Callithrix jacchus: one gene and its partners. The protein of the gene in region 1 purifies or fractionates together with the protein of each later gene. This does not show direct contact. Links are inferred from orthologs where the notes say so. Each region holds a gene or a part of one and is shown on either strand. Other genes may lie near its edges.

Region 1 (10,736 bases):
TGCCTTTCTATGAGCAGATGCATAACTCTTATGTATCCATTCTGCTTGTTTTCAACGTTCTTTTAAAATTTTTCTTGGGCTAAAAAGAGCCTTTTCTCTGGTGTCATCGTAGCTACCATCATCTACAACAAAACCATATATCTAGTACTGAGAGTAATTCAACCAGCAATGTGTAAGTAATATACAGTATAATGATCAGATATAATTTCTGATTGGCCAGAAGAGTTAGTTTACATGTGTGCAGTTGAGATCCAATGACTTCCAATTAAACATCTTAGACCAGGCACGGTAGCTCACATCTGTGGTCCCAGCACTTTGGGAGGCTGAGGCGAGTGGATCACCTGAGGTCAGGACTTCAAGACCAGTCTGGCCAACATGGTGAAAACCCATCTCTACTAAAACTACAAAAATTAGTTGGGTATAGTGGCACACAGCTGTAATCGCAGCTACTTGGGAAGCTGAGGCAGGAGAATCAATTGAATCCAGGAGGAATTGAAGGGAGCAGAGATTGCACCATTCAATTTTTATTTTTCGAGATGGAGTAAAACTCGAAAAATAAAAAACAAACAAAAAACCATCTTATACCAAAAGATTCTGGAACATTATTTGACATCTAGTTTTCAATGTGAAAAATGTACCTATTGTAATTATACTTGAATTCATCATAATGAATAAATTTTCACAACAGCATAAAAAGTGGATTCGTTGAGGCCAGGCGCAGTGGCTCACTCCTGTAATCCCAGCACTTTGGGAGGCCGAGGTGGGCAGATCACGAGGTCAAGAGATCGAGATCATCCTGGCCAACATGGTGAAACCCTGTCTCTATTAAAAATAATAAAAAAATAATAAATTTTTAAGTAGATTCATTGATATGAATAAAGGGTGAGTCTAGTTTTATAATCTGGTATAAATTATAAAATAGATTAAATGCCTGAATGTTTTCATCACAAGGTTGTGCTCTGAAAGCAATCAACGTGCTTCCGCAGCTCTGCTCCTGCAAAGCGAGCAACCACATTTTCTGCTTTCATCTTCTTCCCAACTCTGCCCAAAAAAGAGAAAGCTGTTACTTTGTACACTCAACTAAAAAAGTGCATGTAGTCAAGTCTTCACTTTGCACAGTAGTGCAGGACCACAAAAATGTCCTGCTTGCTGAAACTATGCAAAGTGATCTTAATAATCGTTGGGGGAAAATTACAATTGTTCTGTGACCTTTAAAAAATGTGTCCAAAAGTCCTTTTAAAGAGTATGAATCTTTAAGCCTTAGAAACAAAAACTGAACAATGAAAAAAATTGTGTGAAAGTATTAAAAACTCTGTTCAATGCATAACAAAAAATACTAATATTTAGTAGACTAAGACAGTAGAAACATTGAGAATCAAGGGTTTTGTTTCTGAATGAAAAAATATGCTTCTTTTTCTCCTTCTCTAACTTACGATATAGAACAAGCATCTTTTCCATTCCTTGGCAAATTGTCTTTACTCCTAAGTTTGGATTCGGTTCTAGCATTTTATCACTTGATCTTCCAATGTCATTAGGTATCTCCAAGAGTCCCTTTAATGTGAAGTTTTTCATTAGTGTCACTCCCTGGAGACATCTTCATCCTTTCCATCTCTTTCCTCATTTGTAAGTTTGCCTTCACAAGGTTTACCTGGCTATATATCTAGTCTCTAGAATGGCAACAGCACTCACAGTCCAACATCAGCTATTTCACCTACAATTCCATTTCCATTGCACTCAAATTTTACTTCCAGCCTTATAATTTAAAAAAAAAAATTTTTTTTAAGACAGGTTCTCACTCTATCACCCAGGCTGGAGTGCAGAGCCAAACATGGCTCACTGCAGCCTCAAACTCCCAGGCTCAAGAGATTGTCCCACCTCAGCCTCCCCAGTAGCTTGGACTACAAGCGCGTACCATCAATGCCCGGCCAAGTTTTAAAAAGTTTTTGTAGACAGGTTTCACTGTGCTGCCTAGGCTGGTCTCAAACTCCTGGGCTCAACTGGTCTCCCAAAGTGCTGGGATTACAAGCATGAGCCACTGTGCCTATTCTTTTGTTTCTTTGGTATACATTCATCCCTGGTGGTCAGTTCCCTCTCAGGTATCTACTTCTGTAAAATGCCCATCAGTTTATTGCTAAAGACAAAGAAGCCACACAACTACACACTTTGCTGTGAATGTGCGAAATAACATATTATTCTCTTTGTTCTACATCACAATCTTAGCAAATGAATCCAGAAATATCCTTTTTTATGTGCCAATAATGCTACAAGAAGAAAATGTGAAAATAAGTTATCCTTTCTGCTTAAGATACTATATGGCTCTCAAGCATTTCTAACTACCTTAAAAATAAAGTATGGTTTCTAAACTGGAACGGAGAGAGAATGGGCAGGTAAAACGGCTTACCATCCTAACAACACAGAGTAAAAGCCCAACAATCAATATGGCCTGCCTACACAATGTACCACCTACACAGAGCTTCCATTGATGCTAGTACTTCTCAAATATGAACAACCAAGGCTCGCCAGATATTAAGAAACCCCAGCAAGATAACCCTAATCAAAGGAATATGAGAGGATTATCAGATTACACCACATTAAGATAATGTTCTAATTATATGGCAGGCAATGTTCTAAATGTTTTACGTTGATTAACTTAATGCTGATGGGAACCCAATGAAGTAGATACATCTATATTTATGCCAGAGATGACAAAGCAAATGTTAAAATCCCTACGGTCAAACAGCAAGTAAGTAACAGAGTCAGGCCCCAGAATCCACGCTTCTTAACTTTTACAATACTTTACTGTTCAAACATGGGAAAGGCGAGATCAAAATGCATGGGCTGCAGAAACAGAGGGTAACTTTATCAAAAAATTAAAACTATAATCATATCCTGAGAGATATAAGATACTGCATCCAGACAATGAGTAAAATATGAAAAATGACCAATTAGAGAATAAGGAACTCTTGGGGGATAAATGAAAGCTAAAATACATATTCAATAAAATGAATGTAGGCTGGGCGCAGTGGCTCACGCCTGTAACCCCCGCACTTTGGGAAGCAGAGGCAGGTGGATCAGTTGAGGTCAGGAGTTCAACACCAGGCTGGCCAACATGGCGAAACCCTGTAGCTACTAAAAATACAAAAATTAGCCGGGCATGGTGGCACATGCCTGTAATCCCAGCTACTCAGGAGGCTGAGGCAGAATCACTTGAACCCAGGAAGCGGAGGTTCTAGTGAGCCAAGATTGTGTCACTGTATTCCAGCCTGGGCGATGGAGTAAGACTATGTCTCAAAAAATATATAAGTAAATAAATATTTTAAAAAATAAAGAAATCTCTCTCCCCCAAATTAGAACTGAAAAAAACCTAGAAACAGTGCCTGCAAAATTCTAAGGAGGAAATTCCTATCAGCCAAATTAAAGGCAATTTCAGAAATGCAAGGAGATAAAAAGTTTACCTCTCATCTTCCTTTTCTTAGTAAGATACTAAAAAATGGTACACAGAAAAAGCAGCATATGCCAAGATGGGAAAATATGGGATTCTGGAAATAATGATGCCAACTTAGAAGGTCCAGAAAAAAGGTGACAGTTGTGTGGCATATCTAGGTTATAGGAGAAAAATTATACAGTGGGTAAAATGACAAAGCATCTGGAAAGAACGAAGAATATAAGAATACAGAAGGAAGATTAGGCAAGCAGAAGAATGCAAGGTGAAGATTAACTGGAGGAAAAGCCAAAAGCTGTACCACAAAGGAAATCTTACCACAATGCACTGAGCTCTACAGGGACTGACTGTAATATCACTATTTAGAAGGATGAGGCAAAGGAAATGAGGGAGGTGTCAGTTAAATCATCATTTATCATAACATAAAGGCAATCTGAACTCAATGTCTAAATAGATAGCAATGTCATTTAATATCTAAATCTTTTAGTCTGGACTATTTTACCAAAAGGTATGTGTTCGTTTAGTAATTTTTTTTAGTTTATTGAAAGAAACGTTTACAACATGATACCAACAGAAGGGATAAAAATGTGCTGTGAAACTGCAAAGTCTTCATTCCTTTTTCTTGGTTCTTTGTATTCAAAGATGCTGTTCAGTGCGTTCTGTTCTTCATCTTCTCTCTTGTTCGTTTTCCAGGTCTCTTCTACAAAAAAAGAAATACCACATCTGGTCACATAGCAGCTTGCCTTCTGCCCGAGGGTGAGGATGAACAGAAGAGAAGGGAAAGGGGAGGGTTGGAAGTGGGATGGGGAGGCTGAGCCTGCTCTTCACCCAGGCACCTGGGCTCACTTACATTTGATCCTTTCTTGCCAGGCCTCTTGAGGCCTCTGCCATGAGCTGTCTTGGCCCGGAAGCTAGATATATCATCATAGCTCTCCCGAGTGTTCCACTTTGAGCCTTTCTTCTTTCCACCAAAACCAAACTTCTGGTTTTTATACCGTCGTTTAGCACTGGGCCTGGAAAAGAATGTTCGTAGACATCACCCGCAGCACTGTTAAGTCTGATGAATCTGATGGCCCAGCAATACTCTTAGTTTTCTTTCTATGAGCAAAGCCCCTTAGGCACTACTGTGACCCAGAATCTCATCCTTGGCCCCACAATCCTATGCTACAGCCCCTCGAGATACACTCGTCTAGCTCAACTATTTACAGTTCTAACCACCAGGGCAGGAAAATAAAGCAAGAAGCAGGGAAGGCTCCACATGCATCATGTGGCTTCCTAGTGTCTTTGGAAAGCTTTCTATTTTAACTAAATCTTGTTAAATCATCCTCAGTTGTGTCTATTCCTCTTAAGGGTAAATATATGCAGTTAACATTAAATGTAATACAGGTCATCCAATAGGGATCTCAAATTCAGCATCCCCAAATTCACATCACCTCCTGCACTGGCTCTACTTCCTGTATATATGAGCTCACTTGAGACTGGCACAGGTCCTGCCAACCCAGACACACAGGCTAACATGTGGGAGTCTGCCTTGGTTCTTCTCTCACTTTATACCCAATTCAATTGCTGAGTCCTGCTCATTTCACCTCTTAAATGTTCCTGCAGTCCATCTTCTCTTCTCCCTCAGTTGCCACTTTCAGGTTATTATCATTGCACATCTGGACTAGTCTCCTTGTCAATTTCCCAGCTTCCCTCAAGTCCCTCACTTATACAAAATCCACTGTAATCTTTTTAAAAGCATGACTATGACTTGCTCATTATTGTCAGTACAACCTATAACCTAGTCTCCCCACTGCCTTCTGGACAAACCCCAAGCTCCTCAACAAGGCAAACCAACAGCGCAGGTCTCCCAAGCCACATCGCACCCCTCCTTGCCTTGCACTGTAGTCCCAGTGACACCAAGGGCTTACTGTTCCTCACAAAACCCTGAGGTTTCACATCTCTATGGCTTTGCTCTTTCAAGCTCTTCCTTCTTCCCAAACCCAGCTTCTCTCCTATTCTTGTGGTTAATTCTTACTCACGCTTCAGGCAATGCTCAAGTCAAACCCTCCTCCAGAAATCCAGAAATCCATCTCCAGACCCTGTCAGGTATTTTTTTTTTTTTTTTTTTGAGGCAGAGTTTCCCTCTTGTTGCCCAGGCTAGAGTGCAATGGCATGATCTTGGCTCACTGCAACCTTCTCCTCCTGGGTTCAAGCGATTCTCCTGCCTTGGCCTCCTTAGTAGCTGAGATTACAAGTGCCCACCACACACCTGGCTAATTTTTTGTATTTTTAGTAGAGACAGAGTTTCGCTATATTGGCCAAGCTGGTCTCCAACTCTTGACCTCAGGTGATCTGCCCACCTCAGACTCCCAAAGTGCTGGGATTATAGGCATGAGCCACCATGCCCAGCCCATATCAGGTATTTCTAAAAGCTGCCTCAATACTACTCCCCAAATGCCTCTATCATAGATAGCACTTACTACCTTACACGGAAATGATCATTTCCCCTAGGCCTGGTATCCAGGTATGCAAAACACTGAAGAGCCTGCATTCTTCTTTCAATCTTCATACTATGAGGCAGATACTCTTTCCTCAACTTAGCAGATGAGGCAATTAGCACTTAGAAAGGTATGGTAACTTGTTCAAAACTGCCCTACTACTAAGTGGCAGAGCCAGGGTCTGAGTCCTAGGCCTGAACTCTCAACCATCACACCGTGTGATGGGGACTCAACTTTTACTCAGCATCTACTTAAAGAGTACCACATACTTAAATGTACCTTCTTAGGCTGGGTGCAGTGGTCACGCCTATAATCTCAGCACTTTGGGAGGCTGAGGTAGGCAAATCACTTGAGCCCAGGAGTTCAAGACCAGCCTGGCCAACGTGGTGAAATCCTGTCTCTACTAAAAATACAAAAATTAGCTGGGTGTGGTGGTGGGCGCCTGTAGTCCCTGATACTCAGGAGGCTGAGGCACAAGAATCACTTAAACCCAGGTGGCAGAGGTTGCAGTGAGCCAAGACTGTACCACTGCACTGCAGCCCAGGTGACAGAGTTAAACTCTGTCTTAAAAAAAAACAAGTTTAAAAAGGGCCTTCTTTTATGCCTCAAAGACTGACATGGCTAAAATTACCCATCACACAGTGCTAGGAGTCTTGGCCACAGGCAGCAGCTGCATTCTCTGGACTCACAGCTGAGCCAGTAGGGGTGCTACGCCTGTCATCTTCGTGACCTATGGCCCCACAGCACCTCCCAGAACCAAAGAAACCATACCAAAATACTTCTCACCCCTTCTTCATCTGCTGGCCTTTGGCTCCTGCCTTCTTGCCCTGTGTTGGGGGTTTCTGATCTCCCTCAAGGAAATCCAGTTTATCAGAGAAGCCTGTAAGTGAAGAAGCAGTTCTGATCAGCACCATTGTATTTTAAAAGTTGAAACCACCATATAAAGCTGTTATTTGCCACACTGATTTTAAAAGTGACATCCTGCTCCCCAACACCATTTCCAAAACTTAGATCCGATAGGTCCACATCAACCAAGAAGGCTCCAAAGCACTAAGTGCTCAGATCAACTCTAAAGTACCTGCTACCCTTGTTCCCCCAGCAGAGAGAGGTACCAACCTTTCTGATATTTCTTAATAGCGTTCATCATATGTGCTTTCTCCTGCTGCCTCTTCTGAAGAACCTCTGTTTGCACCTGTGATATGAACACCAGGACAGTTACAGCCATTCCACACCATTACTCCAGTGTCCACATTCTCTTAATAGCAACACCATGATTAATACTGCTACCCTTTGACATTTACTATGTGCCAAAAACTATGTTAAGGGCTCTAAGTATATTCTCAGATCTAGGTATATTCTTCATAGACGAAGATATATCTATTTCATAACAATCCAGTGAAGTTGAAATTTGTGTTATCCCCTAAACTGAAACACGCAGAATTTAACCTGCCCAAGTTGCACAGTGAAAAAGTGCACAGCTGAGATGACCCAAGCTGTTTGCCTCCAAAGCCAGCATTCACTCTATTATAGAATCCTCCCTACTAAACTGCAGCAAATCATGTTTAAGCCGACATCCAATTTTTCCCATCATATTTGGACAGATTAACTATCTAACTTACTGTTACTAGGCATGAAAGTACCAAAAGGAAGAGAAAAAAACAATGTCCCCAGGTAAAGAAAAGAAAAAGGTTTTAAGAATAAAAGGAGAAACTTTATAATACTCTAACAGAGTTTCTCAATCTTGATACTGCTACACTGTGGACAGACTGCTGGGGGGAGGGGCCTGTCCTGCACTGTGGGACATTCAGCAGCACCCTTGCCCTCTACCTGTAGATGCCAGTAGCACCCTCCCTCCCACATTTGACAACTAAACATACCTTCAGGCAGTGACAGAAAACTCCTGGGGAGCAAATTCACCCCAGCTGACAATCTCTTCCTCAATGTTTCCTCAAAGTAGAAACAGTGAACTAATAGGCCCAAGTGAGTTTGTCTTTGCTTTTAATAACTTTGGTTAGGTTAAATTAATTATTGGTGTCTTTAAGATAATCTCAGCCATCTGCCTCCAGATCAAAGAAATAATAAATCCGTGGCAGGCCCTTTGTAGAGACAGGATCCCGGCCTATTCTTACTTTGTTCAGAATGCATCAGTGAAACGACCCCACATGTGGACAAGAGTTCTGCAGCCCAGATCACAAATGCTTATGTCCGAATGCTGACAAAGTCTCAACACCCACGCCCATCTTCCTCACATTCATTTCTTCCCATAATTCTAACTTTAAAACCCATCATCTTCTTTCTTAGATGACCATGAAATAAAAAAGGAAAACCAAGAAAAGTATGCCTGATCTGGTGTTACATAAGAACTCAGACGTTCATAGTTCAAACACACAGGCAATCTTTCAGATTGGGTGACAATCATTAAAATAACCTCTTCAGGGACTGATTATCACACAGGCCAGTGAATCCCAAACCGGGATGCATTTCAGAATCACCTGGAAAGTTTTCGGGGAAGAGGGGGAAACATGCACAGATTCCCAGGGATTGTGAAGTCTAGAATTCTGTTTTGAAAAATTTGCCCTGGTGATTTTGCTATAAAGTCAGGTTTGGAAACCGCTCATCTGAAAATTTAAATTAAAGCCCAGAGAAGTGAATGGCTCGCCTGCAGTCACCATGCTACTCCTGGTGAAGCGCTCATGTCCAGGCAAGATGGTGCTCATGAATACCAGCACATACACCGAGAGATGGTAAACACATGATCAACACACAGTTCAGTTCAGGGGACCAAGTCAGAGCACAGCAATCTCATCAAACACACAGGCTCCGCCTCTTCCTATTCCCTGCACACTTTCCTTCTCACCTTCTTCCCGTATTTCCTAAGTGCTCGCAGCTGCTTAGCCTTTTCAGACTTCTCCATGGCAGCCTGTTTAGTCTGCAGCTTCTGTCGAATCTACAACACAAAATGCTGTCAGTTTATGGTATTTGAATCTGGAATGACCACTGCTTAGGATGCACTAGAGCAGGGAACAGATATTCCCTAAAACTGTGGAACTCATAAATCATTGATTCCAACCCCTGAGGACAACGTGGCCCAAAGGTTGAACACTTTACCAAAAGTGTCACAGTGAAGCCAGAGATGGAAAGTCACCTTCCCACTCCCAGTGTGCTGTCTGTTTCATTATACAAACTGCCTATTTGAAGTCCAGGAAAGAAGACAAATTTCTCCTCACTTCTACTGTCAGTAGACTGAAGCTGGAAACCAGTATGCAGCCTGAGCACTCTTTTGTGGTATACCACATATACAATAAAAACCCAGGCAGATTATCAGGTACCTAGCCTTTTCAGTCAAACATACACATTTTAGTTAAAGGATGAGAAGTTGTCAGTGAGAACGAATACAGAGTTCACAGCGAGAAGGGGAACTACTACCAAGACAAAAGCTCCCTAAAATCCAGCATGAGACCCAAGGGTACTAATTAAATACAGTCATCCCTCAGTATCCGTAGAGGATTAGTTACAGGATCCACTATGGACAACAAAATTTACAGATGCTCAAGTCCCTTATATAGAAATGGTGTAGCATTTGCATACAACCTACACTTACCTCCAGTATACTTTAAATCAGGGGACCTCAATCCCTGGACCACAGACTGCTATGAATGTGCTATGAATCTGTGGCCTGTTAGGAACTGGGCTGCACTGGAGGAAGTGACTCGTGGGCAAGCAAGCACTACCACCTGAGCTCCACCTCCTGCCAGATCAGTGGCAGCATTACATTCTTATAAGAGCATGAACTCTAATGTGAACTGTGCATGCAAGGGATCTAGGTTGCATGCTCCTTATGAGAATCTAATGCCTGATGATCTAAGGTGGAACAGTTTCATCCTGAAACCATCCCCTCCTCCAGACCAGTTTCATCCACAAAACCAGTCCTTGGTTGCCAGACTCTGCTTTAAATAGTCTCTAGATTACTTATCATACCGAATACAATGCTACGCATCACCTCATTCTCATGGATTCAATGTAGTTCTCAGCACATGGCAAATTCAAGTTTTCTTTTTGAAACATTTTCAATTTTTTTACCAAATATTTTTGATCCGAGTTTGGTTGAATTCACAGATGCAAACCCATGGCTATGGAGGGCCGAGTATATCTTGGATTACATTTTGGCAATCCCCTCCTCCAAAGTTAAATGAGGTCCAAGTTCTACCCAACTCTTTACTGTACTACATCTGAGCATCTAAGAATCCCTCATTTTATAGAGGAGAAAACTGAGGCCCAGAGAAAAGTAATTGTCTACAAGTTCTAGCACTGTCAGTGGCAAAGGTACAACAAGAATGTTGTCTTCTCTGCACACCATGCCATGACCAAGCCAGCTAGGAAATGCAATGGGCCATCTTTATCTCAGGAACCACACTTCTCACAGTACTGTTCCGCTCCATAATTGCTGATTTTAGAAAAAATGTCATTCTTATATGCATCTAATTGGTGGTAACTGGCATGACTCTGAAGTAGCCCATCTCTGGAAGAGGTAATAATTGTTCTCTGACAACGGCTCCCCATTATTGGACCCATACCTATCTTTCTAAGCCAGCTGAATATGCTTAAGTACAAAATTTTGGCTTTCTAGAGGAAAATTTCTATTTCTTACCTTCTGCATCTGCAGATCAGACTTGGCCATTTCTGCAAAATAATCAGTGGGCCGCTTGGTAGGAACTTTGAGCTGATGGAGGCGGGGTAAGACTGCAAGCACTGCAGCCTGGGCTTGGCGGTAGCTGAGAATTGTAGGACAAAAGGTGTAATGAAGTGAAGGAAAA
Region 2 (10,736 bases), on another chromosome or scaffold:
CTTGGCTCACCACAACCTCCGCCTCCCAGGTTCAAGCAATCCTCCTGCCTCAGCCTCCTGAGTAGCTGGGATTACAGGCATGCATCATCACACCTGGCTAATTTCGTATTTTTAGTAGATGGGGTTTTTCCATGTTGGTCAGGCTAGTCTCAAACTCCTGACCTCAGGTGATCCACCCACCTCAGCCTCCCAAAGTGCTAGGATTACAGGCATGAGCCACTGCACCCGGCCTAACTTACTTTTTAATTTACCTTTTTTTTTTTTATTTAGTAGAGACAGAGTAGTTTTTTGTTTTGTTTTGTTTTTTGAGGCAGGGTATCACTGTGTTGCTTAGGCTGGGATGCAGTGGTGCCATCACAGCTCACTGCAACCTCAAATTCCTGGGGCTCAAGGGATCCTCCTGCCTCAGCCTCCAGAGTAACTGGAACTATAGACAAAGTCTCCCTATGTTGCCCAGACAGGTCTCGAATTCGTGGTCTTAAGTGATCCTACTGCCTCAGCCTCCCAAAGTACTGGGAATTACAGGCATGAGCCACTGCCATACCTAGCCTATTTATTTTTTAAATCAGAGAAGTTTTTTCCATGTAGATTGTGATGAAGTGCAGGATAATTAGAAAGGATACCCACAACCACCAGAGACAAGCTAGGAAAACATCAACAAGGACTAACATTTTCTGTACTTTTTAAGTTATAGCAAATTTTATTTTCTCTTTTCTTTTTTTGAGACACAGGCTGGAATGCAATAGCGGGATCTCACTCCAACCTCCACCTCCCAGGTTCAAGCAATTCTCCTGCCTTAGCCTCCCGAGTATCTGGGACTACAGGCACAGGTCACCATGCCCGGCTGATTCTTGTATTTTTAGTAGAGACAGGGTTTCACCATGTCAAACTCCTGACCTCAGGTGATCTCCCTGCCTTGGCCGCCCAAAGTGCTGGGATTCCAGGCATGAGCCATCACGCCCAGACAAATTCTACTGTTTATGAAGTATCTTTTCTCTCCCTCTTCCAACTAAACCCAGATATATCCCAGTAAGCAGCACTCTTTTTATTTTTTGGTTTTTTTTTTTTTTTTTTTGAGACACAGAGTCTCACTCTGTCACCAGGCACCAGGCTGGAGTGCAGTGGCACAATCTCAGCTCACTGCAACCTCCGCCTCCCAGGTTCAAGCAATTCTCCTGCCTTAGCCTCCTGAATAGCTGGAACTACAGGCATGTGCCACCACGCCCAGCTAATTTTTGTATTTTTTAGTAGAGACGGGGTTTCACCATGTTGACCTGGATGGTCTCGATTTCTTGACCTCATGATCTGCCCGCTCGGCCTCCCGAAGTGCTGGGATTACAGGCGTGAGCCACCGCACCTGGCCAGCAGCGCTCTTAAGGCTGTTTCAGAAAACCCCACCCTTCCCTTGAGATCCAGGACAGACTCCTCGAGATGGCTGAGACAACAATCTGCAATGAGTGTGATGGGCTCAGAGAACTGCTGACAGTTCTGTGGAGCTCCGTTCCAACCCAGTGCTGAGAATGCTGGACCAGCAGAGGCACAGTACCAGTAAGTCAACCCTGTGCCAAGAAGGAAAAGAAAACCACAACCTGCATTTGGAATGCATTTAGTGCTGAACAACTGCAGCCACTCGGCAGAATACAGGAAAAGGCCTCCATCCTAATGAACACTTTAACCTATTCACACGGACCCTGCAATCAAAAACAATTCTAGCCGGAATGAAAGGCTTCTCTCATCCAAGCATGCAAAGGCTGGAGTAAGGGGTGCATGAATCTTTCCTTTCCCTTCCCTTCTGTCACTCCATAAAGCCTCCTGAAAGGTGGAAAGAGCAACAGTGGTGAAGGGTAGAAAAACATCACTTACCTGTCTGCAACTGGGGGATAGAATTGGAGAATTTCTTGAACTTGGCAATAAAGAAACCATCCATATTGTGGGTATGAGGGTAGAAGCGTCGGGTAGAACGCAGACTGGGGTGGAAGCGCCTTTCTCGAAAGCGGGTAAAACCTTCCTGGCCAAAGTCTAGGCCTGTGGGCACCAGCCGCACATTCCGCTTTTTGAGAGCGTAGTCAACCACCCACTCATTCTCTTCCACCTGGATGCGAGGGGAAGACAAAGACAGAAGGGAGGAAAAAGCAGAGCTGGAGCTGAAGGGAGCTCTAATGGGCAAAGAGCCCTCCCAGCCCAGCCTCCCTGGCTCTGCCATGGCGAGTCTCACCATGATAGAACAGGTGCAGTAAACGAGGTAGCCTCCTGTCTTGGAGGTGGCATTGACAGAGTCAATAGCACTCAGGAGCAGCTCCTTCTGGAGGTGAGCACAGCGCAGAATGTCCTTCTCATCCTGTCCCAAAAGGAGACCCAAAGGTAGCCTCAGGAGGGGAGGAGAGTCCCCACCCCTCTTTCCAGCTCTATAAGACCCAGCCAAGGCCTCTCAGGGGCCCACGACCCGACTGCTCACCTTGTTAGTCTTCACAGCTGGGTCCTTGGAGATGACCCCAGTGCCACTGCAGGGAGCATCCAGCAGTACTCGGTCAAAGCCTCCCACCACCTGGGGAAAAGATACAGATGAATCAGATGTCTCTTCTGAAACCGGCAGTGCACTATTTACTAGGGTCAAATCTAAACACTGAGGTCAGGAAGGGAGAAGGTAAAGTGGAAGAAGCCTCCGGAGAGACACTGCTCAAGTCTCACCTTGGGGAACTGGCGCCCATCGTAATGGCTGATAACAGTGTTGGTGACTCCCAGCCGGTGCAAGTTGCCCACAACACTCTTGAGCCGCTCAGCATTGGCGTCATTGGCAAGGATCACACCCGTGTTCTTCATCAGCTGAGCTAAAGGGAGGGCAGTAACAGTGCTTATCAGCCGGTTCTGCTGTCTCCACACTTGCTCCCACCCTCCTGCCTGGGAATCCACATGAGAAGCGTCATCACCTCGGCAACTTCACTCCCAACAAGCCAGCCCACTGGATAGGCTGATCCACTCTGCACTAGCCCCTGGTGGTTGGCAAGTCTACCGATGTGGTTTTCCTATTTTTACTGAACACCTGTCTGGTACATACTAAATTATTTCTTTTCAGTGATAGCAGCTTAATAAAAGTTATGACTACTGATTATGTGCTGAACACTGCCAAGGACTTCCAAATGCATCGTCTTAACACTCACAATCCAAGCATAATACAAGGGCCGACCCGAGCACAATTACCATCCCATTTTACGGATGACAAAAGAGAACCCATAGTCAGATGAGTAGTAAGTGGCACACCGGCACTGGAATCCAGGCCGACTCCAGAAACTGCTCCTCACTCTGCTGGCTGCCTGTACACTGCACTCTGTGAGCCCTAGTGAGTCAGCAACCCCATCTACTTTCAAAAGCAAGAGAGCCCAGTGAATCCCACCTGTCTGCCCCTCTCTCCTACCAATGTAGCTGGTCTTTCCTCCAGGGGCAGAACACATGTCCAGGATCCGCTCATGTTCCTGGGGTGCCAAGGCCATGACAGGCAACATGCTAGAAGCTCCCTGCAGCATGTAGTGCCCAGCCAGGTACTCGGGGGTAGCACCTGTGGAGAAGGACCACCCTGTGACATGCAGTAGGGACAGGAACAGAGGTGGAAGGGCTCTTGGGTACAGGAGACTTACCAATGGGCACAGAAGAATCATATACCACTAGTCCAGTCTTTGACCACTTGCCCAGGGGATCCAGGTTAACCCCACGATTGATTAGAGTCTGAAGGGGAATGAAGATTTTTTTTTCTTTTTTGAGACAGAGTCTCACTCTGTTGCCCAGGCTAGAGTGCAGTGGCACAATCTCAGCTCACAGCAACCTCTACCTCCTGGATTCAAGCGATTCTTCCTCGTGCCTCAGACTACCAAGTAGCTGGAACTAAAAGTATGCACCACCACGTCAGGCTAATTTTTGTATTTTTCATAGAGATAGGGTTTCACCTTGTTGGCCAGGCTGGTCTCGAACTCCTGACCTCAGGTGATCCGCCTGCCTTGGCCTCCCAAAGTGCTGGGATAACAGGCGTGAGCCACCGCGCCAGACCAGGATGAAGATTTTAATAACCTCATAGGCTACTCTACCCAGAAAACAGATAAAGACATTAAAAACATGGTTCATAAGAACACGGCCCATGGCCCCACAACTCCTAGAGTGCTTACTGAGAACACAGTTATCATGGACTCATCAAGCAGTTTCTCTCTCTCACCCCATCCTATGGTGCCCTTTTTTCTTAACCTCAGGCTCCTAACTCAAGGTCTGAACTTCATTCCAACGGAGCAGGATGCCACCTCCTATTACTTTATTTCCTGGAAGTGGCATCTGATTTTCTAAGAGGCTGAGCCCCTCCCCCATCCAAAAAATTTAATATTGGTTACAGCATATAACATTATTAGGTTTTCTTCACACCAAGATATACAACACATATAACCAAACAGTTGACTTCAGAACAGGGGGTCTTTAATCTCGGGCCCCTGAACCCTTGGAAATGAGTTCAAAATACTGAGTGTGCATATGTGTATATGTCTTTTTTTTGCAGTGAGGAATTATGTTTCCCCAGCTCCTCAATGATCTTCCAACTTCCTTGGGAGGCAGCACACTCATCCCAGTCACAGGAAGCAAAAGCCGGATGGAGGGATGAACTTCCCATTTCCCAGAGGTCCTAGGCCCCTAGCCTGTCAGAGACACCAGGCCTCTGGGTTTGCCTCCCAGGATCTTGCTTAGGTCCTAAGGCCCCACCCAGTCAGGGTGGCATAGGGGAACCTCTGGAGTTGGCAGAAGTCAGTCCCCTTCTGAGGTGAGCAAACCTCAAAAGCCACCCCTTACCTGGGCAAGGTCTCGGCGTCGGGTTTTCAAGGTATTGGTCCGGAGGGTGACGGGCCGAGGCACCTCATTAGCTTCTAAGAACTCCACCAGCTTCGGGAAAGACAGCAGGGAATAAGTGAGGCTGGATAAGGAGCTCAGTCAGAGGGAGACAAGGAGGCTTGAACATCTTCCTTACACAGGTAAGGTGGTGAGAAAGAAAAGCAAAGGGGGCATTCTGGCAATCTAGTACCTCAGACAGAGGGAAGAGGTCCATGAGCTTGCCAAGCAGGAAGTCTCCATAGGAATAGTAAGTGGCCAGGTCCTTCTTGAGCCGATTCAGGTATTCAGAACGAGACCGCCCTTCTTCCCGCTGAGCCCCAAAATCACGCAGGATTCCCACGATATCCTGGATCCGCTTGTGAACTCGTTGCAGGTCTGGAGCCTGGGCATGTGGGCCTGTTAAGGAACTGTGTCATGATGTCCTAGGGCCTGGAAATAGCTCTACTAAGCACCTTCCTCCTACTGCTCACTCTGCCCTGCAAGGATATCCTGCTCCATCTCCCCAGCAGGGGGCAGCACAAACGGCTCCTCATCCACATTGATCTGCAGGCCCCCATCTGCCTCCTCCTCCTTTGGGGGGCCTGACTCAGAGGTCACTTCTTCCTCTTCATCCTCTGTCTCCTCTTCACTCCACTGGACTCTAGAAATAGGTCCAGGAACAGAGTGATTCACAAACCAAAACAAACACCTCCTCCTTCCTCACGGCTTCCCCCACCCCAGCTGCTGCCTATGCTCCATCCCAATTGCTTCCAAAACTCACCCAGCAGCAGCTTCCCGGGCCTTCTGCTTCCGAGCAGCTTTTTCAATGGGCAGCAACTGAAGAGACAAGGGTTGTTAACACAGGCCTGCCTTTCCATCAGCCCATGAAGCACTTTCTATCTCTGTATCTTATTTTTTCTGCTAAATAAAAATGTTGACACTTGCTCTCAGAAGGAAATAGAGAAGCAAAGAAATGAACATAAGATTGGTACAATACTGACCACTGTTGAAACTAAGTAATGAATTAGCCAGGCGTGGTGGCACACATCTATAATCCCAGCTACTTGGGAGGCTGAGGCAGGAGAATTGCTTGAACCCAGCAGGTGGAGGTTGCAGTGAGCTGGGATTGAGCCACTGCACTCTAGCCTGAGCGACCGAGCAAGACTCCATCTCAAAAAAAAAAACAAAAACTAAGTAATGAATTAAATCGGTAATTACACTTTTTTTTTCTACTCCTATGTTTTTCACTTTTCCATTCAGAAAAAAAAACTTGAAATACAAATACCTGTATGTATAAAAAGGGACAAGGACAGGCATGGTGGCTCACAACTGTCATCCCATCATTTGGGAGGCTGAGGCAAGGCAGGCGGATCATGAGGTCAGGAGATCAAGACCATCCTGCTAACACGATGAAACCCTGTCTCTACTAAAAATACAAAAAATTAGCCGGACGTAGTGGTACACACCTGTAGTCCCAGCTACTCAGAAGGCCGAGACAGGAGAATCGTTTGAACTCGGGAAACAGAGGTTGCAAAAAAAAAAAAAAAAAAAAAGACAAAAAATTGCCCTTGGCCACCATTTTGCCATATTTTTTCCAGACTTACTCTATATTTTTCACATAATGCATTTTCAAGTTTGTTTCTTGCTTTTGATACTTCAGTTAGATCACAAGCATTTTCACAGACATAATGACCAGTGTTAACTACATCATATGCATGAATATACTTAAGCAGATTGTATATTTTGGAAGTTTCCAGAGTTTCTGCCATCATGATCAACATGGTGCCTGCAAACCTCATAGTGACTCTGTAGATATAAGGCGTTGCAGGAAAGGGTGCACATGGAAACTTTTTTTATTCTATACAATTCTAATAATACATTCGCACACTAATTTTATAATAATTTCCTGCACACCTCAGTAAATAACTCTTTGCCTACATTTTGGGTCATCTTCCTTAACAGGGAATTACTATGTCAAAAGGATTCAGTTTTGTTTTGTTTTTTTCTGAGACAGTATCACTCTGTCATCCAGGCTGGAGTGCAGTAAAGATCGTAGGTCACTGCATCCTTAACCTCCCAAGCTCCAGTCATCTTCCCGCCTCAGCCTCCTGAGTAGCTGGGACTACAGGCGTATGCCACCACACCAGCTATTTTTTTTTTGAGTCTCATTTTGTTGCCCAGGCTGGTCTCGAACTCCTGAGCTCAGGTGATCCACCCAGCTTCCGAAAGTGCTAGGATTACAGGTGTGAGCCACTGCACTCGGCCAATTTTTAAAATTTTTTGTAGATACAGGTTCACTCTATGTTGTCCAAGCTAGTCTCCAACTCCTGGTCTCAAGAAATCCTCCTGCTTTAACCTCCCAAAGTGCGGGATTATAGATGTGAGCCACCATACCCAGCCAAAAGGAACACATTTTTCTTTTCTTTTCTTTTTTTTTGAGACGGAGTTTCACTCTTGTTACCCAGGCTGGAGTGCAATGGCGCGATCTCGGCTCACCGCAACCTCCGCCTCCTGGGTTCAGGCAATTCTCCTGCCTCAGCCTCCTGAGTAGCTGGGATTACAGGCACGTGCCACCATGCCCAGCTAATTTTTTGTATTTTTAGTAGAGACGGGGTTTCACCATGTTGACCAGGATGGTCTCGATCTGTTGACCTCGTGATCCACCCACCTTGGCCTCCCAAAGTGCTGGGATTACAGGCTTGAACCACCACGCCCGGCCGGAACACATTTTTCAAAGTTCTGAGTTAACTGCTTTATAAAAACAGTGCCTACATGTCTATTCCCGTCGGTGGAACATACCATTGTCCACCTTCCCACATCCACATCAGCAGAGCCTTCCAGATTTTTTTAAATGCTCTATCCACAGCAGTTTCAAACTTGTAGGTGCACTGGGAGAGGATGTAAGGCAGTAGGGAAACAGTGATGGAGCACAAAAATTGCTTTCCTCTAATCGGGCTTATCCTTGTCACTAAAAAATAGTCTCAAAAATCTAGAAAAAAACTAAATGGAAAGGACCTTCTCTGAATGCCCCGAGAGATGAATCTCACCTCTTCACCTTCCTCCTCATTCTCAGAGTTGGAGTCAGCTCCATAGTCATCTACCATACCAGCATCACTGTCCTCGGAGCCCCAGAGGTCCCCGTGGTTCACCACACCATCTTCTTCAGAGTCTTCCTCTTCCTCATCACTGCTAGGTGCTGGGCGCTTCTTGCCTCGAGCAGCATTAAATAGGGACTGGGTTCCCTTCTTATCAGCTGTCTGGACAGCTCCTGCAGAGATCCCTAAGGGTTTGAAGAGTTCTGAACTAATGGCAGCCACACATTCCCTGGCCCCACACCCTAGGAGCCTGTACTTTCTACTCCTCAGAATGTCCTTTGGCTGTTCCTTTCTAGAAATGTTCAGCAAGTCCTTCCCTACCCAGGACCCAGAGGACTCCACATGTAGCATCCAGCTCTTAGTTTCACTGACCTTGTGGTAGCTTTCCAGGCAACAGCTTGGCCTCAGGAGACTTATTTGTCTCAGGGGCTTCAGCAGAGCCAAACCTCCTCTTGGCTGCTCTGAAAATATACAAGAGATACAAGGAGTGAAGAAATGGGAAGATACTTCCAGGCTCTGCCATTTCCACCACGGGGAAATATGAGAGTCCACAATTAACTCTGTGGTCAAAGATGAGCAGTACCAATTTAACCTACTGAAGTCTTGATACCCACACTTACCTCTTTCGAGCACGACTAGACAACCTCTTGGAATTTTCATCACTTACTGTTTAAAAAAGAAAAATGAGGCAGAATAAGTTACAGGAGACATTAAAAGTAAAGGAGGGCTGGGTGCGGCGCCTCATGCCTGTAATGCCAACGCTTTGGGAGGCCAAGGCGTGCAGATCACGAGGTCAAGAGATCAAGACCATCCTGGCCAACATGGTGAAACCCTGTCTCTACTAAAAATACAAAAATTAGCTAGGCATGGTGGCATGCGCCTGTAGTCCCAGCTACTCGGGAGGCTGAGGCAGGAGAATTGCTTGAACCTGGGAGGCGGAGGTTGCAGTGAGCCAAGATCACACCACTGCATTATAACCCACACTCCGACAGAGCAAGACTCCATCTCAAAAAAAATAAATAAATAAAAGTAAATAAAAAACAAAAACGGGAATGAAAATAAAAGTGGTAAGAGAATTAGTACCCTAATTAAAGGGAGGCCATTTGAATTTCAGCCCTATCATTATATAATAGCTGTATACCAGTTTTTTTTTTTTTGAAATGGAGTTTCACTCTTGTCTCCCAAGTTGGAGTGCAATAGAGCAATCTCGGCTCACTACAACATCCATCTCCCTGGTTCAAGAGATTCTCTTACCTCAGCCTCCCAAGTATGTGGGACTACAGGCCTGAGACACCACAATTTTGTATTTTTAGTAGAGACCGGGTTTCACCATGTTGGCCAGGCTGATCTCGAATACCTGACCTCAGGTGATTCATCTTCCTCGGCCTCCCAAAGCGCTGGGATTACAGGCGTGAGCCACCATACCTGGCTATACGAGTTTCTTAACGTCTCAGCATCCACTTCCTTAATAGTGCCTCTCTCACAGGACTCTAAGACGATGAAGTGATATAACATAACCAACAAGTTCAATAGTGTCCAGGATTTGGTACCATCTCAATAAACTGCATCCTTTATCCACTGCCCAACACAAACTCCCAGTCCAGTCTTCCACACAGCAGACGGATCGGCATGGAGAAGCCAGATCCATGCTTTTCCATTTCCATACCTTCCAAAAGGCAAGTCATTGACCGACCCCTCCCCTTTCGCTACTTCTCTTACTACAATGTTACCCATTTTTCAAAACCCATTTTAACAAAAACTTTTACAGTTCTGCATAGGATCTCCCTTCCTCTGAACCCACAATGTTTTAAATCGCACTTTTCTTTGCAGGAATAGTTGTGTCCATGTCACATCTTCTCTATGACCTAAACAGTTCCTACAATCTCAACGACAGTGTTTCATTTATACCTCGTAGTAACTCATACAGAGAAGACTGAATAGAAAATGAACAGAGATGAAAAAAGAGCGGAGGTTATGATACAGAATACTGCAAAAGCTGAGGGATCAGGGGGCCACAACTAATTGTTACCTGTAGGCAAGAATCTGGCGAGTTCGGTCTCGGCACCCTTCTGCTTCCGGGCCTTTCGGCCTGGCCCCCGCTTCTCCTTCTTCGTAGGGTCCAACTTACGCCCCATGGTACTGTGGCATACAGAAATGGGAGAAGATAGCGTCGTGCGTGTCAGAGGGAATGGCAGAACGCAGGCTTGGCGTATCAGAGTGGGAAAAGGCACAGCCTCAACTCAGCACCCACGACTCAGCACCCGCGACTCAAGCACCCCCGCTATCCCCCTGGAGGCCCGATCAAACGTCCTCCCACTCGGAAACCCAGGTAGCGCATCCCTCTCCCCACGTCCCAGACCAGGTCAGCGCTGCCACTCTTCGTCCCCCAGCTTCCTCTAGACCCACCAGAACGCGGGTTACCGCCTGAGACTGCCCTTCGGGCGGCGCTCCACGTGTACTCCGGAGCTAGCTTTCGGCCCGCAGTTGCCACAGAACCGTCCCACGCAGGCGCATGGGTAGCGCTAGCCTCGTGGCCCCGCCTCTTCCGGTTGCGACCAGTAGGCCGCCGCACCCGGAACTTACGCTTGCTCTGGGAAAGCGCGCTGGGCGGGCGGAAGCTGGCAGGGGGAAATTCGAAGGGAACGCGCAGCTTACACCCTCGGGGGATGGAAGGAGCAATGTGACGAAACCTCTCAGCTTGCCCCCCCCTTCCTTCAAGGAGTTGGCTTTGAGCCTCACGGCTGGTTTCTGTCGGAAAAGCTGGTGCGTGAAAGCCGCACCCTCTCCTCGAACCGGGGCCCGACA
Region 3 (10,836 bases), on another chromosome or scaffold:
ATATTTATATGTTTAATGGACTTTTAATTTTACTTTATATATGTCAACTGATAATTTTTTGAGTATCTACTTGGGATTTGGCATAATACTAGACACTACGGGATTAGGAAATGGGATACAATCATTGTCCTGAGGAAATTCAATATGCTTGTTCAAACAAGACAAACAGAAATGTGTGAAGAACTGTGAGATATAAAAATTTGAAAGACCCAGTTATTGAAGAGATAATAAAATGTGTCTGAAGAGCTTTTACAAAACAATTTTTAAAGTCACTGCATGACTTATTTTTGAAATAAGCAATTGTTAGTGTTTCTAAAATATTTTATTGCAATTACTTTCCAAAATTACCTCGTTAATCACAAATAGCTTATCCTTACGATCCATTTTAGTATCTAGAAAAAAAGAAAAAGCAAGTAAATTAAAGGTGATTTCAAAGTTACTTCAATCAAACCACATATGCTATCTAGAAATTGTTTTTACACTCTTCAGTTTAAAGGAGATTTTTATTATTAATTTTCAAAACAAGACCTGAAAACAATCACTTAAAAAATCTTAATTCTGGCCGGGCGCCTGTAATCCCAGCACTTTGGGAGCCCGAGGCAGGTGGATCATGAGGTCAAGAGATTGAGACCATCCTGGTCAACATGGTGAAACCCTGTCTCTACTAAAAATACAAAAAAATTAGCTGGGCATGGTGGCGCACGCCTGTAATCCCAGCTACTCGCGAAGCTGAGGCATGAGAATTGCCTGAACCCAGGAGGCAGAGGTTGCGATGAGCCGAGATCGTGCCACTGCACTCCAGCCTGGGTTAACAAGAGCAAAACTCCGTCTCAAAAATAAATAAATAAATAAAATAAAAATTAAAAATAAAAAATCTTAATTCTTTGTCACTGTAAAGAAAATAAGTAAAAAATAGTCTGCAAGAATTATAAATTACAGTTTAAGCAGTGTTTCTCAGTCTTTAGGTATTCTAGGAAACCTTTTCAAAAATGGAAAAATTCTCACAAACCAAAGACTATGTTAAAGGAAACCAGTTTCAGTGAAAATATCTTTCACTTTTTAATCATAGGTATCAAAGAAGACAGACTGTCCTCGTAACAAACCTGCACAGATACTCCCCGATTTTAAAAATTAAAAAACAAAAAACAAAAAACCCAAAGCACCTCTCAACATAAGCACAACAGCCATATGATGGCGCTGCCACTCCACTGTTATAAACTTTTTATTTTTTTTTTTTAAGACAGGGTCTTGCTCATCGCCCATGCTGAAGTGTTGTGGCACAATCATGGCCCATGGCAGCCATGACCTCCTGATTCCAGTAATCCTCCAGCTTTAGACTCCTGTATAGCTGGGACTGCATGTGGGTGGCCCCCACACCTGGCTACTTTACTTTTTTCATTTTTTTATTTTGTAGATACAGGGTTTTACCATGTTGCCCAGGATGGTCTGGAATCCTGAACTTAAGTGTTCCACCCACCTCGGCCTCCAAAATGCTGGGATTACAGGCAATGAGTCACCATGCCTGGCCATACTGTTTGTGCCTATAAAATAACCCATTGCTTAAAAATAAATAAATAACTTGGCATTTAGAAATAGGCTCTGACTTAAAAGATGCTTCAAATTCTATCCCACGTCCATTTCTCAATAAAAATAGTTTAAAAAAAAAAAAGCTTAAAAAGTAACACATTGTAGTCCTGAATCATTTAGGACAAACAATCCCACCTATGTCATGACCTTTAGGAGCATTACAATAAAGGCATTCCTGGACCTTCAAGAAATATTTCAATAATATCAGGATATCTGTTTGAAAAAGTAAAGAAACTACCTAATGAAGTCTAAAGAATTTCTAATAAAATGTTAACTGGAAAAATTGTGGCACTTGAAAGGATAAAAGGTATTGTGTTTTTTTCCTGAAAAGACTGAACAAATGAAGAATATATAAAATAAGTATCAACATATAAATAGGTGAGTTTATAGATAGAAATTTCTAAAGTATATGATATAAAGGTACCTGCTTTAGAATGAGGCATCAACCTTCTCAAGTCCTGCATTAAATGTCTTGTTCTGAAATTTATCCCTCTGGAAGAAAAGATGAGAATCCGTTCCTTATTTTTCCATTTGCCCTAAAGAAAGAGAAAATGTTAAAAGATTTTAAAATCTCATACTGAACTGACCTTATTTTTGAGAGAGGGTCTCATGCAGTTGCCCAGGCTGAAATGCAGAGATGCAGGCTAACAGCTCACTGCAGTTTCACGTTCCTGGGCTCAAGTTATCCTCCTACCTCAGCATCCGCAGTAGCTGCAGATTACAGGTATGTCACATCATGCCCAGCTAATTTAATTTTTTTGTAAAGACGGGGGTCTCCCTGTGTTGCCCAGTCTGGTTCCCAACTCCTGGGCTCAAGCAGCTTGGCCTCCAAAGTGCTGGAATTATAGGTGAGAGCCACCACACCTGGCCCTGTTTGTTTTTCAAGAGCTTCCAGGTAGCAAGTCAAACCATGCTGACTCCTTTAATCCATCTCTCAGCAACATTCACTGACCACATCTGCCACCCAGAAATGCCCTCCTTGGTTTCTTTCTTCTTTTTCATCTTCGATTTCTCCAATTCCTCTTCCTAACCCTTAAAGTTCTTGCTTAGCCCTCTCTTTTCTGTGCTCTCTATGCCAGGTCTCATAATAACTTCCCACAACTTTAATTTTTGTCCACTCTACAGAAGGGAACTCTCTCTAGCCCTAATAATCCAAGTATTTCATTAACACCTCAAACTCAACTCTACAATACTAAACATTTTCTTAGACCTCTTAAATCTGGTGCATTTCCTTGCTATTTCATTTTCTTTCTTTTCCTTTTTTTTTTTTTTTTTTTTTGGATGCTGTCACTTCAGTCCCTCAAGGTTTGAATCTTCGATTTGCCCTGTTTCTCCCATCTCATCATAAGCACTATAAAATGCTATCAATTTCTCTTTTCAACAATTCTTAATCCTTTCTTATTCACACTGCACTTATTTAGTGCCTTATATGAACCACAAAACTCCTCAATGACTAACCATCCCAGACATGAGCTTCTCCAACAGATATGGTTGAGTAGCTTTTTCAACAGCTTACTTTTTAAATACTTCAATCACATCCTTACTTCCCAGAGTTTTCTAAACAAAATCTGAATGACATAGCTTTGACACTGAATTGGAAAATAAATTTTCATTTTTACATCATTACTGCCCCAAATCAAGCCTAATGCAATCCAATCTGGTTCTATTTTTTACATTTTTCAGCATTTCCCTACCTCAAAGTCTTTCATCAGTTCTTTTTTCTCTCCCTTGGAGTGTTCCCTCTCGTTTTTGAATGCCAAAATTCTCCGGTTCCTCTGATATGCAGCTTAAAGGTTAAATCTAAATCCTTCCAGATTCTTTATCTTATTATACTAGGGTAAAAGTAATCTCAATCTCCTGCATTTCCACAGAATGTATTAAAGTATGGCTCAGATTATAGAAACTAACGCCTTGAGCGAAGAGAGCACTAACATTTATTGAAAGTGTACAAGTCCAGCTTATTTTTCATAAAAAGTAAGTATTCCCTCCCCCCACCCTCCCACTCCCACTCCCACCTAATCTGCAGGTCAGAAAAGAGCACAGAATGTTGCTGTTAATAACGATCCTAGAATTTACACTTACTTTCTTTTTTTTTTTTGAGATGGAGTTTCGCTCGTTACCCAGGCTGGAGTGCAATGGCGCCATCTCGCCTCACCACAACCTCCGCCTCCTGGGTTCAGGCAATTCTCCTGCCTCAGCCTCCTGAGTAGCTGGGATTACAGGCACGCGCCACCGTGCCCAGCTAATTTTTTTGTATTTTTAGTAGAGACGGGGTTTCACCATGTTGACCAGGATGGTCTCGATCACTTGACCTCGTGATCCACCCGCCTCGGCCTCCCAAAGTGCTGGGATTACAGGCGTGAGCCACCGCGCCCGGCCCCCACACTTATCATTCCTCAGAGCTCACTCACCATCACACCACATGGAGTCATTTACTTATCACCTACTCCGTACTAGAGTGTACTATGCTAAGTGCAGAGGACAGAGAAATTAATGTCAAAGATAATCCTTGTCTCCACAGTATACTGTGTAGCTTAAGAATAGTTCTTAGTTGAATGAAAGTTAACTGAAACAACTTGCGTGCACTTCTTTCGAATAAAAACCACCAACTTCTCTGACTTAAGTTTCCTCCTGAACTCCAACATTTCAGGAGGAAGAGGTCACATTCTAGTCACCTTTGCAATCTTTGCCAAAGGAAGCTTAACTTGGAACAATGCGTGGCACATTCAATGTCTGTTCAATACAGGTAAAGCTCAAAGTATCTGGACTATCTTTCATTATCCCTTGAGTTAAAGACCTAGTTAACAACTCACAGTCCCAAGGCCAACAACTTTTTAAAGGCTCACCTAACAAGCTTCAGGATCCCTGCCTGACAGCAGCTGACTTCGGCCGTATATAGGAATACTAATCACTGGAAGAAATACTCAAAAGCGAGAAATAACCAAGGAAAAGCACCACCCTCCAAAAATAATTGAACAACTAGGAAGACAACGCTGGATCTGAGCACCCTGTCAGTCGCTTCCCCGTGGGCCGGCTAAAGGTTCTAAAACCCGCTGCCCCCAGGAGGGCGGCCAAGTGCACAAGAATTAGCTATAAACTCCGTGTCCAGTATGGCCGGGAGAACTGCTAAAACCGACCTACGGTCAACACCCGAGCTATTCTAAAATTAGTAGAGCTGTAGTCAGAACCCCCAAGAAAAGGCGCACAGAGCCGCGGCTGTTGGTGTAACCCTTCTACCTTGCAAACGGGGCCTGGGATCCGGTTTCTCTCTTCTTCCTCCACCTCCTCTGCAGTAGCTCGAGGCTTAGCTGGCGGTTCGGCATCTTTCTCGTTTCTTTTCGGTTTCTTCGCCTGAACTGCCAAGCCTCCACGCCGTTTCCTCTTGGTTGCCGCCATCTTGTCTCGCCGCCTGCGCTCTTTGGCCTTCTTTCCGGTGTTGCCGCTCGCACCCTTTTCCGATCTCTATGGTTCGGCGGCTCTAAGCGCTCGGTTCAGCGGTCGTCCTCCAGCTCGGTGGTGCCTGCCTGCTTCCGGTCTTGGAGGCGCTGCACGCTTGGCTCTCTAGGATTCGTTCCGCTCCATGGTGACGGTGGCCGAGGTGGAGGGCCGAGCTGAAAAGTGTCGGGACCCGCTTCCCTTCTTCCGCGGTTTTTCGGAGCCGCCTTGCTACTCCTCAGGGACTTTGCCGGGAAGGGCTCTCGGGCGTCCAGACCCCACTGCAAAGGTAGGGTGTCAGCACTCGAGGACTGAGAGTAGTAAGTGATGCTGTCCAGCGGGCGAGCTGGTGAATGGGCTTGTCTGGGACCCTTGGGGGATCTTCTGGGCACTCCGAGCCCGCCCCCCCCCCCCCCATCGCCTGTTGCGTTGGAGGCGAGGCTTGCGGCGCGGGCGACACAAAACCGACTCCGTAGGGATTCGTAGCTCCTGTTTGGCCGGGATAAGCTGGCCCCAAGCGGAGATACCGTGTCAGTTGCGTGTCTTCATTCTTCACAACTTTTCACGTTATTGTCCCCTTACGGAGATGAGGAAACCGTAGCTTAGAAAATTTTCTCCCAGAGTTACAAAGACAGTTAAGTGGCATCGGTGGGGTTCGGCCTGGTCAGCCAAGTTCAGCTGCCCAATCCCCTTCCATTTCTCAGCGCAGGTGGAGCTCGCCAGACCTCGCCAGCACTGATGGGAGTTTTATTGTCCAATCCCTTCAGGTATTTCGCGATCCGCGGGAGCAGGTGTTGGCCCCAGAAGCATCCCTCGGGGCCGAATGTGCAGCGGACAATGCCCCTTCTGACCCAACAGATCCAAGACGATGATGATCAGTACAGCCTCGTGGCCAGCCTTGACAACGTTAGGAATCTCTCCACTATCTTGAAAGCTATTCATTTCCGAGAACATGCCACATGTTTTGCAACTAAAAATGGAATCAAAGTAACTGTGGAAAATGCAAAGTGTGTGCAGGCAAATGCTTTTATTCAGGTATGGAAATATGTGCCTTTAAGCCTGTGCCATAGATATTCTAAATGCAGTTTAATGAAATCTGAAGGTTTTAGTAGACAATAAATGACTTTATAGTCAATAGTCCTGAATAAATAGTATATGAATAAATAGCTGTATAGTCTTAAGTCAGAGAACAAAACGCCTTTACTTGAGTTTTTTTTTCTCTCCTGGTAACAAATTTTTTTTCCCATCTTGTTTTACAGAGATAATGGTTAGTAATGACTAAAAAGCTAGACTATTAGCTAGGCACTCCTCTTAGTATTTAACTTACTTAATCTTAACAGTAGTCCTGTAAGGTAGGTTCTGTTATTATTTCCATTTTGTATATGTAGAAACGAGGCACAATTTAAGTGATTTGCCAGCAGCCCCACAGCTGTTAAGTGGCTGAATTGGGATAAGAACCCTGAACATTTGTTTCCAGAATATATGCTCTTTACCACTGCGATACTACCACCTTGCTATTACTAAAGAGTATTTTTTCCTTTACTGGTTGTAGTAGAATTTTTATTCTTCCAGAGTAATATTTGTATGGTTAAGATAGGATTGCAAATTCAACTAAGCGTTTTTTAACACCTAAGTGCACAGCATGACGTCAGGGATAGAAAGGTAAATAAGACATGGTTCTTGCCCTCATGCAGGACATGGTATAGTGGTTCACACCTGTATTCCCAGCTGCTCAGAAGGCTGAGGCAGAGATGGGAAGATTGCTCCAGCCTGGTCAACCATAGTGAGACCCCCATATCAATAAAAAATAATAATAAAAGTTGAAACTAGGCCGGACACGGTGGCTCACGCCTGTAATCCCAGCACTTTGGGAGGCCGAGGCGGGTGGATCACAAGGTCAAGAGATCGAGACTATCCTGGTCAACATGGTGAAACCCCGTCTCTACTAAAAATACAAAAAATTAGCTGGGCACGGTGGCGCGTGCCTGTAATCCCAGCTACTCAGGAGGCTGAGGCAGGAGAATTGCCTGAACCCAGGAGGCGGAGGTTGTGGTGAGGCGAGATGGCGCCATTGCACTCCAGCCTGGGTAACGAGCAAAACTCTGTCTCAAAAAAAAAAAAGTTGAAACTAATATTGTTCATGCGTTACCAAGTCGTTTGTGTATTTTCCAAGTGACCTAAGCAGTAGTGATAGGCACAAAAATGAGACAAGGGGTAGTCACAGAGGGATAGTTTTAGATCCAGGAATGGAGATAAGGATGCTTCACAAGGATGTCTCTAGGATGTTTTGATTGCTAATGAGAAATTATTCTCGTGGGATTAGCACAGTATTGTATTTTTTAAACATATAAAGTGAAATCTAGGACCTTATGTATTAGTTTTCATTCTTTTGTGTAACCATTTTCATTTTTACTTTTTTCATAGGCTGGAATATTTCAGGAGTTTAAAGTTCAGGAAGAATCTGTTACGTTTCGAATTAATTTAACTGTCCTTTTAGACTGTTTATCTATTTTTGGATCAAGTCCTATGCCAGGTAAACTATTATCAGTAGAAGGACATAAAAGTGTTATATACAATGGACAGAAAAATTCAGGAATTTATTTGGAATATAAACATTTGTTCAGAAAGTTATTGCCAATTCATTTTTCATTGGCCACAGTCATGGGTTCTAACTTTTCCCAATGTTAATTGCAAGTGTGTTTATAGTTCTTTCCTTTGTAAAAGTATTAACATTTGTCTTTTTTTAATTTACAAGGCTTTGAGGGAATTTAAATCTGAACTGGCCAAAAGAATGCTTTGGGCATGTCTTAAATATCTTTAACATTGTGAAACGTAATTGCTTCTTTTCCCTAACTTGTCCAGAATTACTCAGCTAGTTAGTGGCAGGGAAAAACAGAAGCCGGTTCTACTGACTCCTAGTTTGTACTGTGTTCAAAATTTGTTTCTTTCAAGCCATATTTTATAAGTTATGTCTATTTTGCCAAATGATTTTTTTAAACATATTTTTTCTTAAGGGAATTATTTTTAAGAATGGTGAAATTTAGTTGCTGTGGGTCTAAAACTGTCAGGAATCCCCAGAAGAATGATTTTATTTCATAGGAAAGCAACCTGGAGATTAGGAAAAATTCAATATAGTTCTCCAATATAGTTCTCCAGAAAAATGTATTTTAATTTTCTACTGACAATTCCACTGTTATTAACTAACTATACATTTTCTAATACCGTGTTCTCCAGCTGGTTTTTCATGAAAGAATCTGTCATCTTCCATTCCTCACTGTGGCTCTCCATGCAGTAAGGAGGAATTTGAATATCCTATCACATTCCTCCTTCCCCTAATGGTTTGCAGTGTTAGAATTTACACCACTATTAACAACCCTCTTTTTGTCTCAATTTAATTTTGAAATTTGAAAAAATATAAAGAATATCTGAGTTGGAAAAGTTGGAAGGATCCTTATAAGAGTGAATACACTGACATTACAGTACACATAGCAGTCCACTGTTACACACATTGAACCTTCAAGAAATAGCATACTGTGTTCTGCGGCAATTTGGTTACTTGCTGTGTTGATCCATGTAGATTCTCTATCCTGAAATTTATGTATATAAAATCAAGCTATTTCTGAGGTATTTATGACAACCTGAAAATGATACCAGAGAGTTACGTTACATTTTGTTCTGGTTCCCAATTTTCTTGTATGTTTGGAATTGTCTACATACAACTGTCATCAGGGAAGATATAATCCCTTTTTATGAGGAGATACGTATATGCGAGAAATTTGGTGGAATGAATTATTCTTGAGAAATTTTATATCATTTTGAGGAGAAGCTGAACCCAGAGCTATAAAGCTAAGGCCAAGTATGATTTCTTTCCATTGCAGGGACTTTAACTGCTCTTCGGATGTGTTACCAAGGTGATGGTTACCCTTTGATGCTGTTCCTAGAAGAAGGAGGGGTGGTAACAGTCTGCAAAATCAATACGCAGGAACCTGAGGAGACCCTGGACTTTGACTTCTGCAGCACCAATGTTATTAATAAAATTATTCTGCAGTCAGAGGGACTCCGTGAAGCATTTTCTGAATTGGATATGACGAGTGAAGTCTTACAGATTACGATGTCTCCTGACAAGCCTTATTTCAGGTACTTGAGAGCGGTGGAGTTATAGTTCATGTGGTCTGTACTCTGTCTTCCCTCTAGACATTTGCTTAGGATGCAGAATTTTTATTATCCACATTTTTAGAGCTTTCACAACTTTAAATAGCTTGTACTCTTACTCATAATTTTATGGATCAAGAAACTTAAGACCCAGAAAGATTAACTCACTATTTCATATTTAGATGGTGTTGGCATGTAGATGAGAAGCCCGGTCCCCTAATTTCTAAACTAGTAATGTTTTCATACTACTTACTGTCATGTATCAGGTTACATCATGAGGAAAATTGGGTTTAAGTGTTTGGAAAGGGTATTTGTATTATATGGTATCTTTTTCAAGTTAGTTCAGGATGCAGAACATGTTTTCTACATGTGGTTCATTCATTCACTAAGGTATCTGTTGATCACCTACCATGTGCTTATTCATCTTATTGACCATTGTAGGAATAACAACTTAAAATTAAGGTGAAGCCAAGATATGTGAAACAGCAAACCATTAAGTACGAAGATAGCACACAGAGATCCCTGGGAAACACTGAATAAAGATTTAGGGAGGATAGCTCGATGCTCACTTCCAAAGAGAGGGCAGTTTTCAGCAGGAAGACAATGTCAAAAAAGCTGCTCCTTATTCTTTCACACAAGTCTCTTTCCAGGATTAGTCTCAGTTTAGAAATTCTAGCAAGAGGATCTAAATATTCTCTTTTGAAAAATTTCAGAATATTAAATAAAGGCACTAAATACATATGGAATAAAAGGTATAAGGTATTCTTTTTGTAACTGCTTTAGAAAAATTACAGACCCAGCTGGGTGCAGTGGGTCACACCTGTAATCCCAGCACTTTGGGAGGCCGAGGTGGGTGGATCACTTGAGGTCAGGAGTTCAAGACCAGCCTGGCCAACATGGTGAGACCCTGTCTAATTAGCTGAGTGTGGTGGCAGGTGCCTGTAATTCCAGCTACTCAGGAGGCTGAAGTGGGGAGAATCACTTGAACCCAGGAGACGAAGGTTGCAGTGAGCCAAAATTGCACCACTGCACTCCAGCCTAAGTGACAGAGCAAGACTCTCAAAAAAAAAAAGAAAAAGAATTACAGGTCCTTCTCATGACTTTGGGCAGTTAAAAATTTGGATCACGGTCTGACAAAGTATTAACCAAAATGGAAATTGGAAACCCTACTTTAGCTGTGGAATGAAGTGAAAAATTCAGGTACTTAAACAATATTTCAGAGGATCTCCTTCTCAGTGATCTCTCAGCCTGGGTAACTAGGTGGATCATGGTATCTTTCATCTCCAAGTTAGGAAACAATTTGGTGGTAGGGAGGTTGGAGTTGAAATGTTTTTTCTGGATATGTTAAATTTTAAGTACCTGTGACACTAGGGAATAGCTGGATATGTGGTTATGGTGCTCAGGAGATCCATCTAGACTGGGAATTTAGATTTGGGAACCATCATAATGGCTGGGCATAGATGAGGCGGGTCAGAGAGAGCGATTATATTAGAAAGAAAAGATGAACCCGGGGAAAAACAGCACCTGGAAGATGGACGGTAGAAATGGAGCTTAGGGAAAACCAACACCTGGGTCATATCATTATGCTCATGCAACACTTAGCAACTGCAGGAAATACTCCAGTCTAGCAGATGAAATCAGCACATTAACATTTATAAGTTG

The links.
Region 2: the proteins of EBNA1BP2 (region 1) and NOP2 fractionate together in Homo sapiens (co-fractionation; 3 studies listed by BioGRID and IntAct, with this or other methods). This does not show direct contact. The link is inferred for Callithrix jacchus from reciprocal best matches to the Homo sapiens genes EBNA1BP2 and NOP2.
Region 3: the proteins of EBNA1BP2 (region 1) and BRIX1 purify together in Homo sapiens (affinity purification with mass spectrometry; 4 studies listed by BioGRID and IntAct, counting the BioPlex papers as one, with this or other methods). This does not show direct contact. The link is inferred for Callithrix jacchus from reciprocal best matches to the Homo sapiens genes EBNA1BP2 and BRIX1.

What each region holds. Positions count from the first base shown.
Region 1 is NC_133508.1:79,826,781-79,837,516, forward strand, and holds the end of EBNA1BP2 (putative rRNA-processing protein EBP2), read right to left. Parts: intron 10,695-10,736; coding exon 10,571-10,694; intron 8,870-10,570; coding exon 8,780-8,869; intron 7,115-8,779; coding exon 7,039-7,114; intron 6,803-7,038; coding exon 6,709-6,802; intron 4,456-6,708; coding exon 4,293-4,455; intron 4,143-4,292; coding exon 4,092-4,142; 3' UTR 3,961-4,091; downstream 1-3,960. UniProt on the Homo sapiens protein: Required for the processing of the 27S pre-rRNA.
Region 2 is NC_133510.1:20,748,844-20,759,579, forward strand, and holds the start of NOP2 (28S rRNA (cytosine(4447)-C(5))-methyltransferase), read right to left. Parts: upstream 10,423-10,736; 5' UTR 10,338-10,422; intron 10,071-10,337; 5' UTR 10,067-10,070; coding exon 9,961-10,066; intron 8,598-9,960; coding exon 8,552-8,597; intron 8,393-8,551; coding exon 8,304-8,392; intron 8,117-8,303; coding exon 7,884-8,116; intron 5,674-7,883; coding exon 5,618-5,673; intron 5,498-5,617; coding exon 5,344-5,497; intron 5,246-5,343; coding exon 5,048-5,245; intron 4,909-5,047; coding exon 4,819-4,908; intron 3,721-4,818; coding exon 3,633-3,720; intron 3,554-3,632; coding exon 3,392-3,553; intron 2,829-3,391; coding exon 2,689-2,828; intron 2,546-2,688; coding exon 2,456-2,545; intron 2,339-2,455; coding exon 2,216-2,338; intron 2,093-2,215; coding exon 1,864-2,092; intron 1-1,863. UniProt on the Homo sapiens protein: S-adenosyl-L-methionine-dependent methyltransferase that specifically methylates the C(5) position of cytosine 4447 in 28S rRNA. Required for efficient rRNA processing and 60S ribosomal subunit biogenesis.
Region 3 is NC_133503.1:170,707,623-170,718,458, forward strand, and holds the start of BRIX1 (ribosome biogenesis protein BRX1 homolog), read right to left. Parts: upstream 5,008-10,836; 5' UTR 4,984-5,007; coding exon 4,825-4,983; intron 2,124-4,824; coding exon 2,012-2,123; intron 393-2,011; coding exon 349-392; intron 1-348. Other genes in the region: cell cycle checkpoint protein RAD1, read left to right, coding at 5,860-6,057, 7,447-7,555, 8,901-9,159. UniProt on the Homo sapiens protein: Required for biogenesis of the 60S ribosomal subunit.